Linked DNA regions of Caenorhabditis elegans. The protein of the gene in region 1 purifies or fractionates together with the protein of each later gene. This does not show direct contact. Each region holds a gene or a part of one and is shown in the gene's direction. Other genes may lie near its edges.

What was found.
Region 2: the proteins of Y51F10.7 (region 1) and gpa-10 fractionate together in Caenorhabditis elegans (co-fractionation; one large-scale study listed by BioGRID). This does not show direct contact.

The regions. Positions count from the first base shown.
Region 1 is NC_003279.8:1,911,024-1,915,679, reverse strand, and holds Y51F10.7 (MD-2-related lipid-recognition domain-containing protein), read left to right. Parts: upstream 1-1,744; 5' UTR 1,745-1,773; coding exon 1,774-2,244; intron 2,245-3,735; coding exon 3,736-3,834; 3' UTR 3,835-3,996; downstream 3,997-4,656.
Region 2 is NC_003283.11:6,851,725-6,856,335, reverse strand, and holds gpa-10 (Guanine nucleotide-binding protein alpha-10 subunit), read left to right. Parts: upstream 1-1,524; 5' UTR 1,525-1,532; coding exon 1,533-1,594; intron 1,595-1,640; coding exon 1,641-1,748; intron 1,749-1,931; coding exon 1,932-2,070; intron 2,071-2,123; coding exon 2,124-2,284; intron 2,285-2,688; coding exon 2,689-2,857; intron 2,858-2,907; coding exon 2,908-2,997; intron 2,998-3,046; coding exon 3,047-3,200; intron 3,201-3,242; coding exon 3,243-3,324; intron 3,325-3,506; coding exon 3,507-3,612; 3' UTR 3,613-3,815; downstream 3,816-4,611.

The DNA.
Region 1 (4,656 bases):
GCGAAATCAGTTGAGAACTCTGCACCTCAACTCCCGCATTTTTTTAGATCTAGGTAGATCAAACCGAAATGGGGGCACTCTGGCTCCACGTGAATATACAGGAAGGAGGCAGAATTTTCTCAAGCTTGATTTGATCTTCGAAAAAAGCGGGAGAAGAGACGAAAACTTTTCAACTGATTTCGCATGGTTAGGAGTGCACTGACGTCACATTTTTCTGGGAGAAAAATTCCCGCATTTTTTGTAGATCAAACCGTATGTGGGACAGCCGGTCACCACGTGGAAACGTTCAAGAGGAGGCGGAATTTTCTGGATTTCGCATTTCTCAGCTCTGATTGGTTGGACATCAACTCCTTTCAAAATCCGTCAATAGTGAATTGAAAACTCTAAGTTTGTGCACAATTTTGTGCATGAACGCATCAAACACGTCTTTTGAAAAATCCAACTCCAATATTCTTGATCGACGACTACAGCAGGGGTGTGCGGCAAATCTCAAAATTTGCCGAGCTCGGCAAGTCCGGCAAATTCGACAAATTGGGCAAATTGGGGAGCACGAAGACTATCGAATTCTGAACAAACGTCTTTTTTCTGAATAAGTTCCGAGTGGTGTGTCTGCTTAAACATCAAAATAACTCAATTTTGTGTCATTTTACAGAAATTTTCTGGGGATAAAATCAATACTTTTGGTCAAAACTGTATTGTCAAATTTTTGATGTGTGCGGCGAATTCGGCAAATTTGACAAATTTGCCGCATACCCCTGGACTACAGTAACCCAAAAATTTCCGACTACTGAACATCTGAGAAGGGTTCTGCTCACGGAAGTCTGGCTTTCCTCATAAATTGAAATGGAAGAGTTTTTGCCGACCTAGGCCATTTTGGATCGGCCATATATGAGGTAGCTATACGGTGCGTTGCGTGTCGCGTCGCGGCTCGGTTTTAATTGTAAAACTAAATGTATTTGTCCGTGTGGAGTACACTACTTTCCCACGAGTTGTCCGGCAGGCGATTGTCAATGGAGCGCGAAAAATTCAATGAGGAAGGCCAGAACCCCGTATTTGCTGAGTGGAAGCACTACGATCAATCACCAAAATTGAAAGCATCATGCTCAAAACTGAGCCTTATTGATTCTGGAACAGCACTCCTTGAAAAAACATGGGAACTGTTCCTTTGGCCGAAGTTTCAGACATTTTTTGGGTTTCTTTTCGCTCGAAACACGTGGTGTCCCATTTCGGTTTGATCTACGTAGATCTACGAGAATTGCGGCAGAGTTCCCAACTGATTTCGTATTGTTAAGAACGTGTGCTGACGTCACATTTTTTTGGGCGAAAAATCCCCGCATTTTTTGGTAGATCAAACCATAACGGGACAGCCCCTGACAATACGTGTTATCGGCAAATTTGTCTCGAACTTGATTGACAGGTTAACTTCAAACGTTCAACTTGATCGGCCACCCATGTTCTCTTCGAAAAATCTATTTTTGCAAAGCCCAATCACAATTTCGAATGTCGACACGAAAAATGACTAACTAACTATTCCTCTTATCACCGCCGCCACTTTCGTGTCCAGAAAACAGTTGGCGTCGCGTCCAAACCATGCTGCAGATTCCCAACAATTCCCACGTCACAACAGATAACTAACCTATGTGAATGGTTATACTGATAAGCCAAGGGGAGGCGTGGCAAACGGGGGAAATGGGGTGACATCGGGGGGTTTGTGTATAAATTAGATTTTTCGACTACCGGAATTATAGTTAACTGATATTTTATATTTTCAAAATGATGAGAAACATCGCTGTACTCCTTGCTATTACGGCCGCCGGCTTCCAAATTAACGCTATGCCAATCGACTTGGCAGATTGCCCATTCCCAAATGGCACTGACAAGCAGATTCACTCGTACATGTGCTCCGACGGTGAGCAGTTCTCAATCACCGACATCCAAACGTTGGATAGCAAAGGAAACCCTCTCTACCCAATCGACCCGAGCCATCCGTTCATTTTGAACCTCACCACCTACAATCACGGACCACAGATCGACGATAATCATGTGAACGTGAAGATCAATCAGTACAAGTCGGGATGGCAGGGCGGCTGCTCGTGGACCGCACTTCCCACATTCGGATTGTTGAATGGAATCGATGGATGCGAATTTGCACACAACTGCCCACTCACGTCGGGACCACTCTTCTTGATTCTTCCGTTGGATTTGAGCCAATTCTCGGCGATTATTGACTTGATTGCTGCTAATGTAAGTGAAAAATCGACGAATTATTTTTGGAAAACTTAAAGTTCGGCGTTTGTCAAGTATAATTTCGGGACTAACATCGAATTCGGTAAAAGTGCGGACATGAGTTTTTTCAGGGTTCCGAATTTCGCCAAATATATACTCCAAAAGCAGTATTTCGACTGAGACTTGGATTGAATTGCCAAGAATCGGTCATATATCAAGTCTTGAAATGCTTTAAAGGTGGTGTAGTCAATTTTTTTTAATTGCTTTATTAGACCCAAAAATGTCTGAAAAAACCGAATTTCATAATAAAACTTTTTGAAAACTTCAACTTCTCAAAAAAAAGTTATGACGGCTCAAAAAAATGGCCTAAAATTTGTTAAAATTTGAAATTTGACCGACTTGTCAAGCGGCTGGAAACTATTTTTTTTTTGAAATCACCGTCAAATTTTGAGTATACAATTTAATTATCTTGCGTTTTCAACTTGATTTAGGTATTTTAAAGTTGATGGACGGCGAGATTTGGTAAAAAAATTTTAAAAATCTCGCCGTCCATCGACTTTAAAATACCTAAATCGAGTGGAAAACGCAAGATAATTAAATTTTATACTCAAAATTTGACGGTGATTTCAAAAAAGTTAGTTTCCAGCCGCTTGACAAGTCGGTCAAATTTTAAATTTTAACAAATTTAGGCCATTTTTTGAGCCGTCATAACTTTTTTTTTTGAGAAGTTGAAGTTTTCAAGGAGTTTCATTATGAAATTCGGTGTTTTCAGACATTTTTGAGTCTAATAAAGCAATAAAAAAAATTCGACTACACCACCTTTAAAGCATTTCAAGCTTTGATATATGACCGATTCTTGGCAATTCAATCCAAGTCTCAGTCGAAATAGAGGCCCCACCAAAACAGGATGCAGTGGGCGGAGCGAATTCGCAACCACCGCACGGTTATTTCGCAAGCCTCACACGTTTTTTCTTGATATTGTTGCATTTTTCAAGAGAAAAAACGTGCGAGGCTTGCGAAATAACCGTGCGGTGGTTGCGAATTCGCTCCGCCCACTGCATCCTGTTTTCGTGCATCCTGTTTTGGTGGGGCCTCTCGAAATACTGCTTTTGGAGTGTGAATTTGACGAAATTTGGCCGAAAATATACCAAATTGTGTACAAAACCTTACAATCTGGAGTGGAATCCTTCAATATTTTTTTCCGGCGATTCCAAATTTCCTCACATTGCAAAAATGTTAGACTCTTCGGTTTCTCAGGCCACGTGGTGCCAGGCTGTCCCATCACGGTTTGATCTACAGAAAATGCGGGAATTTTTTTCCCAAAAAAATGTGACGTCAGCACGTTCTTAACCATGCGAAATAAGTTGAGAACTCTGCCGCATTTTTTGTAGATCAACGTAGATCAAGCCGAAATGAGACACTCTGACACCAAGTGTACATGTCTCAAAACCCTAAAGAGCTAGGCAAAAACCCATTGATGGCCATAAATCCTAAAATCCTTCATTGCAGAAGCCGTACGAGCTGGAAATCCGAATGTTCAACTACAACGCCGGTGACACAAAGCACGAGGAGATCGCGTGTGTTATGGCTCAAGTTGAGTTGTCTTAAGCATGAATGCTCCGTCCGTTCGTTCGGGAATTGTATGTGTACATCGAAGAAGAAGAAGAAACAAAATGTCATGTGTGAAACTACGTGTCGCCGATATATATATATATAATAATCATCATCATCATAACTATAACTTTTGCAAATAAATATATAATCAATCGTATAGTTATCACTGTTATCAGTTGATTTGTGCCGTCAAATATAACAGACTACGGAAAGAATTGGCGAAATTTGGACTGGAAATTTAAAATAGTATACTTTGATATTGAAAATGTAAGCGCATTTTTCAGATGTTTCACTTTTTAGAAAAAAAAAATCCAGAATTACTAGTTTTTTCGATTTTTACGTGCTTTTGACTACAAAAAAGTACCAATTTATGAACTTTACAGTCAATTTTTTTTGTTTTTTCACACACTTAAAAAAAAATTAAACGGAAATGAAGTTTTTAAAAGACAATTTTTTTGTGATTTTGACTTCAAAAAAACCAAAAAAAAAAAAAAAAAAACGAAATTATGTAATTCTGAAAAGTACCAATTTATGAAATTTTCAGTTTTTCCAAAACGGTTTTTTTAAAGGAAAATTTTAGAATTTTAGAACTAGTTTTTATTCCACGTGTCTTTGATGATTTAAAAACAAAAACAAGTAATTCACGTGAGAGTGCAACATTTCGTCTTGATCTACGTTGATCTACAAAAAATGCGCCAGAGTTCTCAACTGATTGTGCATGGTTAAGAACGTGGTGCTGACGTCACATTTTTTGGGCGAAAAATTCCCGCATTTTTTGTAGATCAAACCGTAATGGGACAGCCTGACATCGCGTGG
Region 2 (4,611 bases), on another chromosome or scaffold:
ATTATTGATATCAAGACCAGATAAACTTGTTTCCGGTTTAACTCACAACAAAGCTAACGATTTCCGTTTGCGTGTCGTTTAAAAAACTTTACTCAATTGGCGTAGTTCTCTCTTTTTCAAAACGCTTTTCTAATCTATCTATTTTTCTGACCAGCTATCATAAAACCATAGCAACATAAATGTTTCCCTATAGAGCATCGGGTATTCTGTTTTTTTTTGATTGATAATATAAATATATCTCCCTCTAACCCAAATACACAACCAACAATCACATTATCTTTTTTCCTTCTTTTTGATCATTCCCACGCTCAAGTAGTCTCGCGATTTTTGAGTGTATTTCATTCAACATGCAAGTCAGAAGTTGTTCTCGTGTTTTTGTTTTGTTATTCACCTTTTAGTTTCTTTGTTACAGAGAGGCTTAATTGGGAATCTGCGGTAGTCAAGGAAACCGGGGGGAGAGGACCGCCGCTAATCATCACTACCTTCCTTCTCATTTCATTTAATCATAACTTTGCTTTTTTCCCTTTTCTTCTCTCGTGTTCTCCACAACTTTTTTTTTACATTTTTGTGTTGTCACGACTTTTAAGCCTATGTGATTTTAAATTTGTGTTGAGCTCATGCGCTTTTCGGAAAAATTTTGCGAACATAACGATTACAACTGGTTTCAAACAAAAATGTAATTTATCGCCATTTCATTTAAATATTTCTTGACTTTGACGGGTAGTGAAAAAGTGTTCAGATGTTTTTCGGTGAACCAAAATCTGTGGTTTTAGAGAAAGTTTCCAAATGTCATTTTGAACGTTCTTGAAAAACTGGTTCATCTTTAACATTGAGACAAAAAACAATTTGTGTTAAAGAAAAAAACATCCCAATCTAAAGTACAAATCTACAAATCTAAAGTAACTATGTTCTTCACGTGCTACCATGTTGCTTTTTCATGGAAAATTATGGCGTCACACAAGGTCTTGAAATTTAGGATTTACCTATCTCTCTTTAAGTCTAACAAGTTCTTTCGAAATTATATTGTCGTTTCTAGTGTTGATGACTTTTGAAAATTAGTCAACGAGTTTGGTTTCATCCCGAGTTACGTATCTATTTATTTTTTTTTTTTGGTACATATTCAGTTTGTCGCGCGGCTTTGAAATACGGGTTTCAAATAATTTTTTTTGAAGGAATGTTCTCTTGCATTGATGGATTTGAAAATTCTCATGAAAATAGTAACTTTTTTTGACGAAACTTGTACATTCTCTCTGAGCAATACAGTGGAAATTGACTTTATTTCCGGTGTGAAATCTACATTTTCGTTGCCGAAAAGTCTGTTCAGTTTGTCTCGACAAGCTTTCTGAAACTTTTTTTTTGGCATGACAACATGTTTTGTTTTTTTTTTTCTGATTAGTCATTTCATTTGTCTCGTTGTCTAAGTTGAATCTCGCTGGCATCCTATAATTAAAGTTTGCGTTCTCTATCATAATCGTCATAATCTTTGAATTATTTTTGTTCTTTCAAAAATTTCAATATATGTTCAGGGAAACATGGGGGTCTGTCAGTCATTTGTACTCACTGACGAGATGAAGGATCAGATCAAAGTTAACAAGTCAGTTTTTGAGTTACATGTTTCATAATTGTCGTTAATATTTCAGAGAAATAGAAAAACAGCTCGAAAAGAAGAAAAACATGCAATTGGAGCAAACCGTTCTTCTACTGGGGCCTGGTGAAAGTGGAAAAAGTACTGTCATGAAACAGATGAGGTATATTTGATTTTTTAATAATTCTTGTACATGACCTAATATTTTGAATTAACAACGGGAAAATAAATAGGTTTCTGATTATACCTTGGGAGTTGTGTCTGTTTCTTTCTGTTTACAGTTTGAAAATTAATTAATAACTATTATATTTCCTGTTATATGGGTAGCCAAACATTCTATTTTCAGAGCCATGACTGGAAACTACACAAAGACAGAACTACACGAACGAAAAGTGCTAATTATACAGAATTTATGTCAATTTTCTGAGATGTTGTTAGAATACGTCAGAGAATATATTTTGGAGATGACGGAAGACGATGATAAAGTGAGTTTTGCGACCTCTCGGGTTTTATTAGGTTTCAAATTAAAAACTTTTAGCGATATACTGTGATGTGCGAAGAACTGAAAATGGCGGTAATTCATGATGGAATAATGAGACCTGAACTCGCCGATACACTGAAGGAATTCTGGGGAAACAGTGCAATACAGGACGCGTATTCCAAGAGAGACACATTTCATTTGACAGATAGTGCCAAGTAGTGAGTTTTTTTTTTGGAAACTTGTAGCGCATTCATAGTTAGAATTATAGAAAAATGTTTCAATTGATTCAAAAACACGTTTCAAAAATGTCTGAAATGTTTCTTAAAATATTCTTTTATGTCACACAGTTATTATTTAAATGTTTCGAGTTATGTATATGTTTGTTCGTTCACAAATAAAACCAAACTACAGACATTGTTCGTGTATCTGTCATTTGGTCTAACGGAACATGTAATTAACAGGTCTAGAAAAAAAAAATTGTGATAGTGATCGCTGAAGTCTATGATGTTAACTTGTTTATGTTCTTGTTCTAGCAGGCAAATTTTGCAATAAAAAATCAATTGAATAACTACATTAAATTATCTCAAAATTGTGTTATTTGAACTTAATAATTCATTTTCAGTTTCTTCGACAACATCGACCGTATAAAATTGCCAGGCTTTGAACCGACAAATCAGGATATTGTTCACATACGGGTACCTACAACGGGAGTTGCACAAGTCGAAGTTATTATGAACAATATCAAATTGATGATTTGCGATTGTGGTGGACAACGATCTGAAAGACGAAAAGTTGGAAATTTAACTATTTCTTTGTTTCCTAATTGAGAATTTAATTTCAGTGGTATCACTTTTTCGATGAGGCTGACGCTGTTCTTTTTGTAGCGGCTATTAGCGAGTTTGATCAGAAGTTAGCGGAGGATGAAGAGACGGTAATTTTTCCAAACAGCCACAAAATTGAAACGAAAAATTAAATTTTAGAACCGTATGCATGAATCCATCAGATTGTTCTGGACAGTTTTTAATGGAAAGTTTTTCAAAAAAGCGGCAGTCATACTTTTCCTGAACAAAATTGATTTGTTCGAGGAGAAAGTAAAACATGTGAAGATTAAGGATTACTTTCCAAAATTTGAAGGTTTGTTTTCCAAGTTTTTGAATTCATAGTTTCATGTTTCAGGAGCAAACACAGTTTCAGAAGGTACAAAGTTCTTTCGGAGACAATTTAGAGAAGGGATTCACCCGGACTTCAAAAAAAGAATGTGAGTTTTTGAGACTACAGTTTTGTGTCTACTGCACTTTTGAAAATCTAACTATGAACTTACAAACTAAAAGAATTCTGAACGTATTCGACTTCTTGGATATTTTTGACTTTTTTGTGCCAGTATGGAACACTAACAGTACTAGAAAATAAAATGTAAATTTCAAAAACGTAATTTTACAGGTACACCCATGAAACATGTGCAATATCGGATCAAGTTCAAATAATCATCAATACAGTGATAGATACAGTTATTCAAGATAATCTCAAAGATACGGGAATGATATGAACTCCAATCGCTCTGCACAAATTATTGTTCTTCAATTTAGTATCTGCCTCAAACAACGTGTGTGATTAGTAATAATTATTCCCTATTCTATTTGAGTGGTGTCATTTTTTATTGATTGAAATTTATCGTGACTGAAACTCTGATGAAAATTTGTACTAATTTTCAGTGTAAAGTGAGAACCAAATAAGATTAAAGGAACATACATATTTATTCGAATCTCTTTTAGAAGAAAAATGTTCAATCGTTTTTACCTGACTTTTCACATCTTCTCAAACAAAAACATGCGACAAGATAAATGGACAGAATTCCAAAAATATACGGAAAGATAATAACAAGGTATACATCTAAAAGATTTCTTTGAATGAATCCAAGTGTCCTCCCATATGGATCCATTTCCGGGAACGGACCAAATTTTGCAACAAATTCAGTGTATTTGACTACGGTCTCCTTGGGATTTGTTGGTTGGTTTCTCAACATTTCTGCCAGTTTTTTAGAGTTCTTCTTAAAATGATCGTCGTTCAAAATTGAATAAATGGAATTTTTCACAAGTTCCCTTTTCCAAAGATCGTTTCGACTACAAGAACTCCTCCATGTCTTGCCAACATCAAAGAATTTCTGTTTTGATCGGCAAATACTGGTACCATTAATGCTGGTTTACCAAGATACGCAAGTTCAGTTGTGCTACCAAGACCTCCATGTGTCATGAATGCTGTTAAACGGTCATCATTTAGTAATGCGGTTTGAGGAATCCATTTTGAAAAATGAATATTTTCAATTTCTTCTGCTCATTGCAAATCATTTGTTTCATATTTCCAAATAAGCGTTACATTTGGTAAAGATTTAATTGCATTGAAAATTTCGTCTCTGAAATACATATCTGATTAATATTTTGATTACAACAGTGTGAAAATTATTAAAATAATTATAACTTGAATATGGAGTGGAGTTTTTGGAGTTTTTGCCTGAAAAACTGGCTTGAAAAAAAATGAATTCATGGCT